2 linked regions of the Xenopus tropicalis genome follow. The protein of the gene in region 1 purifies or fractionates together with the protein of each later gene. This does not show direct contact. Links are inferred from orthologs where the notes say so. Each region holds a gene or a part of one and is shown on either strand. Other genes may lie near its edges.

Evidence for each region. The genes of interacting proteins can lie anywhere in the genome.
Region 2: the proteins of ubqln4 (region 1) and gja1 purify together in Homo sapiens (affinity purification with western blotting; 3 studies listed by BioGRID). This does not show direct contact. The link is inferred for Xenopus tropicalis from reciprocal best matches to the Homo sapiens genes UBQLN4 and GJA1.

The regions. Positions count from the first base shown.
Region 1 is NC_030684.2:133,265,117-133,271,283, forward strand, and holds the start of ubqln4 (ubiquilin-4), read right to left. Parts: upstream 3,571-6,167; 5' UTR 3,546-3,570; coding exon 3,408-3,545; intron 1-3,407. UniProt on the Homo sapiens protein: Regulator of protein degradation that mediates the proteasomal targeting of misfolded, mislocalized or accumulated proteins.
Region 2 is NC_030681.2:72,393,576-72,398,544, forward strand, and holds gja1 (gap junction alpha-1 protein), read right to left. Parts: upstream 2,659-4,969; coding exon 1,519-2,658; downstream 1-1,518. UniProt on the Homo sapiens protein: Gap junction protein that acts as a regulator of bladder capacity. A gap junction consists of a cluster of closely packed pairs of transmembrane channels, the connexons, through which materials of low MW diffuse from one cell to a neighboring cell.

The DNA of each region.
Region 1 (6,167 bases):
GCCCCATGTTTGTTCTCACAATGAGCTCCATCTTCTTCTCTCAGCCTAAGCTCCACCTCTTCAAGAGATGAGCTCCATCGCTACCATTTACCCTCAGCCTGAGCTCAGGTTGTGTTGCTGAGGCTAAATCCCTCTCAAGCAGGGGGAGACCCACCATCACAAGCCCTTAGCGTGGGTCCCCCTGTATCTCCCAAACACAGAGTAGCCAGTGTATCCATCTCCTCTCATGTTGGATACCATGTTCCATTCCTTCCAGCTGTGCTCCACCTCCCCATACACCTTCCTGCAGAGCTTAATTACCAGCATCTCTGCCACTAAGCTCCATCTCTATATCTGTAGATACTCTCCATGGAACCCACTATCAGGATGAGCCCGTTAGGCTTCATCACAGTTACAGGCTGATCGGTCACTACCATTGGTTGCTTTATTCACCCACTTCAACTTCCACTCTCTCAAGCTCCGCCCCACTCCTGTCCATGCAGCTGGTTCCCTTTCTGGCAATATTTTACCTAAATGTGTCAGTACTTCCTGTGAGAGTCATTTCCCTCAGCCAAGCTAAGATGTCACTCTCCAGCCAGCATTGCCACATCCCTCTCACTCTCAGCTCCATTACTTTAGTTGGAGGGAGAACTCCTCTAAAATTCATCATCCTCTATCAGACTGGCCCCTCTCTTTCTCTATCAGCCTAAGTTCCCCTCTGTCTCGCACTCATCTTCCTTTTTCCCATTAAACTCGGCTCCTGTCTCTAACACCCCCCACCCAACCCCTTGGGTGTTGCTCTCAGTGCCCCCAAACCAGGGAGTTATTTTGAATTCCTGACTTGGGGGCAAGTTTTGGTTGAATAAAAACAAGATTTCCTACCAAATAAAGCCCCCTGTAAGCTGATAGGGTGCATAGAGGCCCCTAATAGCCAATCACAGCCCTTATTTGGCTCCTCCATGAACTTTTATGGTGCTTGTGTTGCTCCCCAAGTCTTTTTACATTTGACTGTGGCTCATGGGTAAGAAAGGTTGGGGATCCCTGCACTAACCCATCCCTTTCTCTACCAGACAGGGTCGCCTCTCTTTCAGACTGATCACCCCTTTCACTTTCAGCTTGGCCTGCTTGTCCACCCATCCCTTCCTCTTCCAGGCTGGGCTTCTCTATCACTCAGCCATATCTGTCTCTCCATCATTCTGGGCTCCTCACTCTACCAGACTGATCATCCCTTTCTCCATCAGGCCCCGGCCCATTTATTCCAATCTGATCTCTTTCACTTTCAGGTTGGGCTCCTCTGACTCATCTGCACATTCTCTATCAGACTGTTCTTCTCTCTATCAGACTGTTCTTCTCTCTATCAGACTGTTCTTCTCTCTATCAGACTGTTCTTCTCTCTATCAGACTGTTCTTCTCTCTATCAGACTGAGCTCCTTTCACTTCACTGTTCTTTCTGCCTGTTCTTGTCTCTCTATCAGACTGTTCCCCCTTCCTCTTCCAGGCTGGGCTTTTCCATCACTCAGCCGTATCTTTCTCTCCATCAATCTGGGCTCCTCACTCTATCAGACTGATCTTCCTTTTCTCTATCAGACCGATCTTCACCCTCTATCAGACCGATCTCCTCACTCTATCAGACCGCTCTTCTCACTCTATCAGACTGTTCTTCTCTCTATCAGTCTGAGCTCCTTTCACTTCACTGTTCTTTCTCTCTGACTGTTCCCTTCTCTCTCTATCAGACTGGACTGCTCTCTCTATCAGACTGTTCCCCTCTCTCTATCAGACTGTTCCCCTCTCTCTCTCAGACTGTTCCCCTCTCTCTCTCAGACTGTTCCCCTCTCTCTCTCAGACTGTTCCCCTCTCTCTCTCAGACTGTTCCCCTCTCTCTCTCAGACTGTTCCCCTCTCTCTATCAGACTGTTCCTCTCTCTCTCTCAGACTGTTCCTCTCTCTCTCTCAGACTGTCCCCCTCTCTCTCAGACTGTTCCTCTCTCTCTCTCAGACTGTTCCTCTCTCTCTCTCAGACTGTCCCCCTCTCTCTCAGACTGTTCCTCTCTCTCTATCAGACTGTCCCCCTCTCTCTATCAGACTGTTCCCCTCTCTCTATCAGACTGTTCCCCTCTCTCTATCAGACTGTTCCCCTCTCTCTATCAGACTGTTCCATTCTCTCTATCAGACTGTTCCCCTCTCTCTATCAGACTGTTCCATTCTCTCTATCAGACTGTCCCCCTCTCTCTCTATCAGACTGTTCCATTCTATCAGACTGTTCCCCTCTCTCTATCAGACTGTTCCCCTCTCTCTATCAGACTGTTCCCCTCTCTCTATCAGACTGTTCCCCTCTCTCTATCAGACTGTCCCCCTCTCTCTCTATCAGACTGTTCCCCTCTCTCTATCAGACTGTTCCATTCTCTCTATCAGACTGTCCCCCTCTCTCTATCAGACTGTTCCCCTCTCTCTATCAGACTGTTCCCCTCTCTCTATCAGACTGTTCCCCTCTCTCTATCAGACTGTTCCCCTCTCTCTCTATCAGACTGTTCCCCTCTCTCTATCAGACTGTTCCATTCTCTCTATCAGACTGTCCCCCTCTCTCTCTATCAGACTGTTCCATTCTATCAGACTGTTCCCCTCTCTCTATCAGACTGTTCCCCTCTCTCTATCAGACTGTTCCCCTCTCTCTATCAGACTGTCCCCCTCTCTCTCTATCAGACTGTTCCCCTCTCTCTATCAGACTGTTCCATTCTCTCTATCAGACTGTCCCCCTCTCTCTATCAGACTGTCCCCCTCTCTCTCTATCAGACTGTTCCCCTCTCTCTATCAGACTGTCCCCCTCTCTCTCTCAGACTGTCCCCCTCTCTCTCTCAGACTGTCCCCCTCTCTCTCTCAGACTGTCCCCCTCTCTCTCTCAGACTGTCCCCCTCTCTCTCTCAGACTGTCCCCCTCTCTCTCTCAGACTGTCCCCCTCTCTCTCTCAGACTGTCCCCCTCTCTCTCTCAGACTGTCCCCCTCTCTCTCTATCAGACTGTTCCCCTCTCTCTCTATCAGACTGTTCCCCTCTCTCTCTATCAGACTGTTCCCCTCTCTCTCTATCAGACTGTCCCCCTCTCTCTATCAGACTGTCCCCCTCTCTCTCTATCAGACTGTCCCCCTCTCTCTATCAGACTGTCCCCCTCTCTCTATCAGACTGTCCCCCTCTCTCTCTATCAGACTGTCCCCCTCTCTCTATCAGACTGTCCCCCTCTCTCTATCAGACTGTCCCCCTCTCTCTCTATCAGACTGTCCCCCTCTCTCTATCAGACTGTCCCCCTCTCTCTATCAGACTGTCCCCCTCTCTCTATCAGACTGTCCCCCTCTCTCTCTATCAGAGGGACCATTGCTCTCAGGCTGGGGCTGGCCCCTCTCTCCCCAGGCAGGATGGCGGGGTTAGCCGCCCCTCACCTCCAGCACGCACGCCGTTTCCCCAATAACAATCTCTTCCTTGTCCTTGGGCGTTTTGACGGTGACACGAATAAGTCCTTTTCCCGGAGCCGGCCCGGTAGTACCGGAGGCCGCACCATCAGCGCCGCTCTCCGCCATCTTCTCTGCACCCGCCCACCCCGAGGAGGAGCAATAGGAAGGAGGAAAGCCGCGAAGAGAGGATTATAGGCTTCCTATGACTGGCAAAGCGCCGACCGTTCTACTTACCTCTTCGCCGCATGGTGACACCTACCGGCACGGAGGACGAATCACAGGCACTGAGGTTCCAGCTGTGCTGCGTCATGTTCTAAATCAGGTGACACGCTCACCCAATGAAACGAGAGTATGAGGGCGAGGCTTGAAAATACGGAACAATAACACGCCACACGACCAATTACAAACTATTTGAATTTATTGGATTTGCGTTTCACGGCCTAGCGTTACCTTGGCAACAGCTAATCCAGTGTCTTGTTCGGGACATTTATATAAAGGAACCCTGCAGTTATTTGGACATCCATTTGGGTGGAAAGGATTCTGTGAAGCTTTTATATGGATATTGTACGAGATACGGCATTCTGAGCTCGCCGGACTACATTACCCATCATACCTAGCGCCTACTTCCTGGGGAGGCGGGCTGTGGGATTGCTCATGTGACCGCGGCCCTGTGACAGGTTAGGCTGCAGCACTGAGCGGAATATGTTGCGGCCCAAAGCGCTCACCCAGGTTCTGAGCCAGGCCAACACCGGGGGAGTCCAGAGCACCCTGTAAGTACCGGAGCCCCCCGAGTAGCAGGTCTTTTGTCTGCCTCGTCCGCTCTTGGCTGCCACAGTGCCAGTGCCTACAGAGCCTACAACTCCCGGCATCCTTTCCCTACATCCTGCTCCCTCATTTCAGTGCATTTATCCTGGCCTATTGCTCCCCTCCCTGCAATTTGTCCCAAAACTGCTGCCATACTCCAGTGCATTCTTACATCCCTGCCCCATGGCGTTACCTTCCGCTTATTTGTCCTATACTTTCCCCAATGCCTGCCAGCCTCCCTTCCCTTCCCCAATGCCTGCCAGCCTCCCTTCCCTTCCCCAATGCCTGCCAGCCTCCCTTCCCTGCCCCTCTGCCTGCCAGCCTCCCTTCCCTTCCCCAATGCCTGCCAGCCTCCCTTCCCTTCCCCAATGCCTGCCAGCCTCCCTTCCCTTCCCCAATGCCTGCCAGCCTCCCTTCCCTTCCCCAATGCCTGCCAGCCTCCCTTCCCTGCCCCTCTGCCTGCCAGCCTCCCTTCCCTGCCCCTCTGCCTGCCAGCCTCCCTTCCCCGCTGCCTGCCTGCCAGCCTCCCTTCCCCGCTGCCTGCCTGCCAGCCTCCCTTCCCCGCTGCCTGCCTGCCAGCCTCCCTTCCCTGCCCCTCTGCCTGCCAGCCTCCCTTCCCTTCCCCAATGCCTGCCAGCCTCCCTTCCCTTCCCCAATGCCTGCCAGCCTCCCTTCCCTGCCCCTCTGCCTGCCAGCCTCCCTTCCCTGCCCCTCTGCCTGCCAGCCTCCCTTCCCCGCTGCCTGCCTGCCAGCCTCCCTTCCCCGCTGCCTGCCTGCCAGCCTCCCTTCCCCGCTGCCTGCCTGCCAGCCTCCCTTCCCTGCCCCTCTGCCTGCCAGCCTCCCTTCCCTTCCCCAATGCCTGCCAGCCTCCCTTCCCTTCCCCAATGCCTGCCAGCCTCCCTTCCCTTCCCCAATGCCTGCCAGCCTCCCTTCCCTGCCCCTCTGCCTGCCAGCCTCCCTTCCCTGCCCCTCTGCCTGCCAGCCTCCCTTCCCCGCTGCCTGCCTGCCAGCCTCCCTTCCCCGCTGCCTGCCTGCCAGCCTCCCTTCCCCGCTGCCTGCCTGCCAGCCTCCCTTCCCCGCTGCCTGCCTGCCAGCCTCCCTTCCCCGCTGCCTGCCTGCCAGCCTCCCTTCCCCGCTGCCTGCCTGCCAGCCTCCCTTCCCCGCTGCCTGCCTGCCAGCCTCCCTTCCCCGCTGCCTGCCTGCCAGCCTCCCTTCCCTTCCCCAATGCCTGCCAGCCTCCCTTCCCTTCCCTTCCCCAATGCCTGCCAGCCTCCCTTCCCTTCCCTTCCCCAATGCCTGCCAGCCTCCCTTCCCTTCCCCAATGCCTGCCAGCCTCCCTTCCCTTCCCCAATGCCTGCCAGCCTCCCTTCCCTTCCCTTCCCCAATGCCTGCCAGCCTCCCTTCCCTTCCCTTCCCCAATGCCTGCCAGCCTCCCTTCCCTTCCCCAATGCCTGCCAGCCTCCCTTCCCTTCCCCAATGCCTGCCAGCCTCCCTTCCCTTCCCCAATGCCTGCCAGCCTCCCTTCCCTTCCCCAATGCCTGCCAGCCTCCCTTCCCTTCCCCAATGCCTGCCAGCCTCCCTTCCCTTCCCCAATGCCTGCCAGCCTCCCTACCCCCGCTGGCTGCTGCCTTCTGGGCCATTTAGCCATTCTTCCCACTGCCTTCTATATTGCTACACTACCCTCTGCACCCCCCCATCCTTGCCCCCACTAACTGCCTCTTTACATCAGGACCCATCTCGTTGCCCCACTACCTCCATATATCTGTATCCCTCCCCGCTGCCTTGTCATTGGGTACATGCCAGCCCCAATCATGCATCCCTGACTCTGCTTCTCTTTCCCAGGCTGCTGAACAATGAAGGCTCTCTACTTGCATATTCTGGTTATGGTGACACAGATGCCCGAGTTACAGCTGCTATTGCTAGCAACATTTGGGCTGCCTATGA
Region 2 (4,969 bases), on another chromosome or scaffold:
GCACAGAAGGAATTTGTAAATTTGTAAACAAATTCTAAAGAAGCATTCACCGATTCACTGATATACAACGTACCTCTTCTATATCTTTTAACACAACTTCTTTAACAAATGCATTATTACTTTTTTCACATCACTGTTATTTCAGAAACATCTTGAAACATATTTCCTGTAGATTAAAATGCATACTATATTCTGGGCTCTTAAATTGTTACAACGATAAAAAAAATATATATATAATAGGGAACTGGCTGGCAAAATGACATGTTAATTCCCTGCATGTTATTCCAGAAATATTTACCTCAGTTCCTTGAACTACACGTTACAAATGTATCTTACCAGAAATTAGCCACAGAAACGTGGTTTGTAGGCTTTATCATGCTTCATGATTGAGGACACCACTAGAACATGGCTATACTATAAAGGCATTTCATGAGACATATGCCTTTGACTAACATCTTCTTCTGATTCACTGCATACTTCAGCTCAAAATGATGATTAATTTGTCAGACCCATATTGACTGCCATGCTTGAGAACCAAACTTCAAGCAACCCCAACCCTTAACACACACATATACATACAGCATCATAAAATATTATTCAATATTGCACCAGCAAAAAAAATGTAAGCAGTTCAAAAGGTGCTTCTACCAGTTGGGTTGCCGAATAGTTTACCACTAAGGTCCTACTTCAGAATTAAAATGGGTTTCACATTTAAGGAGCCTTTACTATGATATTATTCCACAAATAGACATAGGGAAAATATTAATATAATATAGGAGATTTCGCAATAATTTCTAATAGTCCCACACAAATAATGCTGTTGTTGGAATGTTATAAGGATCTGGTGGGAAAGATGACCCTATAGTTACATTTGGTTCTTTTAAAACATGATCCTTATGGAATTAAGTAGTTTTTCATTTTTATAATTAATTGTCATCTTAGTTAATCACTGTAGTATCTGGGATTTGACATCCCCTATTGAATGTCTGGGCCATTCAGAAAGGATTGACTAGGCTTGTTGCGGAATAATAGTGCTGCTTTTAAGAAGGCATATGATCAAGCAATTCAATTACATAAGCATAATTTTCTTAACCAGAAAAAGAGAAGGGGCAAGGAAAAATGCTAGTCATCTTGAGAAAACATCCAGGTGTCTTTCTCCAGAATTCATTCTAAAAAGTTCCTAACAGTCAAGCTATTGTTTAAGTTATTTATAAAATCATTGTAAGAAATCTCTCATCTCATAGAAGGCTGACACTAGTCGTAAAACAACATTGCTCACATCAAATATTTCACTTTTTGGGTGAATTGAAAACACATATGTTGTCTTAGACATACATTCTAAAAAAATATTGTATGAGTCATTTAAGACTGTAAAATTTGTATGAGCTACTTAAATATCAAAGCGATTTTCCCTCGCCATATAAAAGTTCATCAAAAAAGTTTGTTAAATCTCATTTGAGAGAATTTAGTACCACCTCCACTCTTAAAATGTGCCTTCTGGTAATACATCAAGATTGATTAGATCTCTAAATCATCAGGTCGAGGTCTGCTACTTGCATGACTGCTTGCTCTACTAGATGGTCTTTGGTCCAATATAGTCAGGGGCTGCATCTCATGTCCTGGTGCCATTTTCTTAGTATTCTGATGTTCATCCGAAAAATCAAAAGGCTGTGCATGAGTGTTAGAAATTGTGCTTCCAGCCTGCCCCATCCTGTTTTGTTCTGCACTGTAATTGGCCCAGTTTTGTTCACTTGCTTGCTTGTTATAATTGCGACAAGAAGAAGGATTTCTTTCTCCAGTAACAAGTTTGTAACCAGGTGGAGACATGGGAGCAGTTGGAGAAGAACAGCCATTAAAATAAGCATATTTAGGGGAGCCACATTCCTTTCCTGGAACCACAGAATCATTTGTGGCAGAATATGGGTCTTTTTTCCCCTTGATGCCATCTTTGATACTTTTGTAGGTGACATAGAACAGCTCGATGATATTTAGGGCAAGAGAAACTATAGAAACTATTAACATGAACCAGATAAAAATGGTCTTCTCTGTGGGTCGAGAAAGGAAACAGTCCACTTGATGTGGGCAAGGATCTCTTTTGCATGTGTAGATGGCACTTAAGCTAAACCCATACATGTACCATTGAATGAAAATAAAGCCAACTTCAAAGACTGATTTAAACAAAATGCTGATGATGTAAGTGCGAAGAAGTCCACCTCGCATCTTAACTTTTCCATGCTCTTCAAGGCCATATTTGAATTTCTTTATTTCAATTTGTTTAAGGTGCATGTCTACATTACCACCTTCATTCTGAACCATTTTAAGTTCTTCTTCTTTCCTGTTTAGCTTCTCTTCTTTTCTCATCAAGTAAAACACATGGGCTAAATAAAGGAGGGTAGGCGTTGAGACAAATATGATTTGAAGTACCCAGAAACGCACATGAGAGATCGGGAATGACTTATCATAGCAAACATTTTCACAACCTGGTTGTTGAGTATTGCAGACAAATGCTGATTGTTCATCTCCCCAGGCTGACTCCACTGCTGTCCCTAATAAAAGGATTCGAAATATAAATAGGACAGACAGCCACACCTTCCCTCCTGCAGTCGAATAGGCTTGAACTTTGTCAAGAAGTCTTCCTAAGGCACTCCAGTCACCCATGCTCAAAAGTGGTTACCTAAAATCCCAAAAAAGTACACATCAGTATTATAAATAAAAGTAATATCATTAGAGAGTAACTGTGGAACAACTTCTTACATTGCAAGCTACTGAATGATTGAATGTTCTTAATATTTTTAGGCAATATTTAGGCAATGTTCATTACACTCTAAGCAAGTAATTGAGTAAAAGTTATGGTGTTTTGTGAAAAATGACCATATATATAGTTACATTGGGTTGAAAAAACACCATCAAGAGTTTATCAAGTTCAACCCTTCCAAGTAAACCCCAGCACACATAAACCTATACTTACCTATCTATATACTCACATACATAAACCATATATACCAACACCAATTTAGTATCACAATAGCCTTGGATACTATGCTTATTCAAGAACTCATCCAGGCCCCTCTTAAAGGCATTAACAGAATCTGCCATTACAACATCACTAGGAAGGGCATTCCACTACCTCACTTGAACAAACCACCTACCCTGCTTTAAATGGAAGCTCCGTTCCTCTAAAGGGGTGGCCTCTGGTGTGCTGGTTGTTTTTGTGGGAAAAAAAGAACATTCCCTATCTGCCTATAATCTCCTCTAATATACTTGTACAGAGTACCATAAAGTTATAATTCCTATTTTTTATATCATAATACTTTTACCACAGAAGGAACTCATAGATATGAAGAATGCATGAAAAATGCAAAATATAGAGATTGTTATTTATTTTTTTGTTCGAGTAATGAAAGAATGTAAGAGAGAAATATATACATAGCATTAAAAGTTATGAAAAGAAAAAATAAATTGAAAAAGAAGAGTTGCAAAGAGGAGTGGCAGAGATGAACATGGTATAAAAATGGACATACAAAGAAGGAAGTAAAAGCATAAAAAGAAAGGTGTTGAGGTACTGCAAAGAAAGAAGATCATTTATATTTTACAAGACTTTATTTTGTGTGGTTCTGGCACTTAACGATGATATAAAGCCTTAAGGCCAAAATCTTAAAGATCAACCATCTTGTTGTTATCTTACATTTTGGCTTTCCTATGTTACACTGTATGCAAACGTAATGTCGGAAGATATATTTATTTACTGAAAACTGTGTTTAAGCTTTTCAATTTCAAATAGAAACAAGGAAGCTTATAATACACAGGTCACAACCCTAATTTTGCTCAGCTACATCTCCCAGCATGCTTTAACCCTTAACAATATGGTAAAGTATGCTGGGTTCAGTTCAGCAACCACTGACTAAAGTATAGTTGAGCAACAATGTTTTGTTCACCTTTAAAATGAGATGCAAACAGTGTTGCTCACCCAAACTTAACTTAAATTTTGGTAGACTATAACCCCAGTATACTTTAACAAATTATTAAAGGTTAAAGCATGCAGTTCAGCAACATAAGCAATGCTGTTAAAAATGTTGCCTTCTCTGGAGGCAGTGCCCTACTATATGCAATGCTGCACCCTCTTTTCTAACCTTCAACCTACTGACATTTGATAGTATAGTATAATATAGGCAAAGTAAAATCTCACAATAAACTCCCTGTTTTAGAAAACAACAATGTTAATTAGGTAGTGCTATTAAGCAGGGCTCTTATTTATTGCATAATACTTTGGCTTCTGCCATTCAGTTTGGATACCAGTGTTGGAAAGCTTTGGGAATCAATGGAAGAGTTTCTGAAGGTTGTATACGTTATTTAAGTGTACAACCTTCAGTGTATAACCAAGTGTTTACCCTAGGCCAGTGTCGGACTGGCCCCCCAGGATACCAGGAAAACTCCCGGTGGGCCCAGGTGTCAGTGGGCCCTCCTGCTCACCCTACCATTTGCCTTGTATCCCTATACCATGGCCATTACTCAATTCTATATGAGAAGAAACTAAAGAAATGGGGGAAAGGATAGATAATAGTATGTAAAAAGAAGTAATTAAGAGATTAAAGAAAGTGAATATACAGAGAAGGGGAGAGTGGGCCTAAGGTCTAAGGTTTTCTGGTGGGCCCTTGGCACCCCAGTCCGACACTGCCCTAGGCCTGCTACTCTTATGTAGTGCAATCATAAACTTATTAGTTTAATTTATGATTGACTTTTATGTAACAACAATATTGTTATTATATTATGCAAATCTCTTCTTTGGAAAGTTTTTCAAATTATCCAAAAAGTGTTTTAATACATTATTAACATCAGTTAAAGGAATTGCTAAGAACGTGCTTGCTCATTTGTGCACTTGCAAGAGTTAGAGGAAAACTATACCCCAGAATGAATACTTAACCAACAGATAGTTTATATTATGTTAAGTAATGGGCTGTGTGCTTTCTCA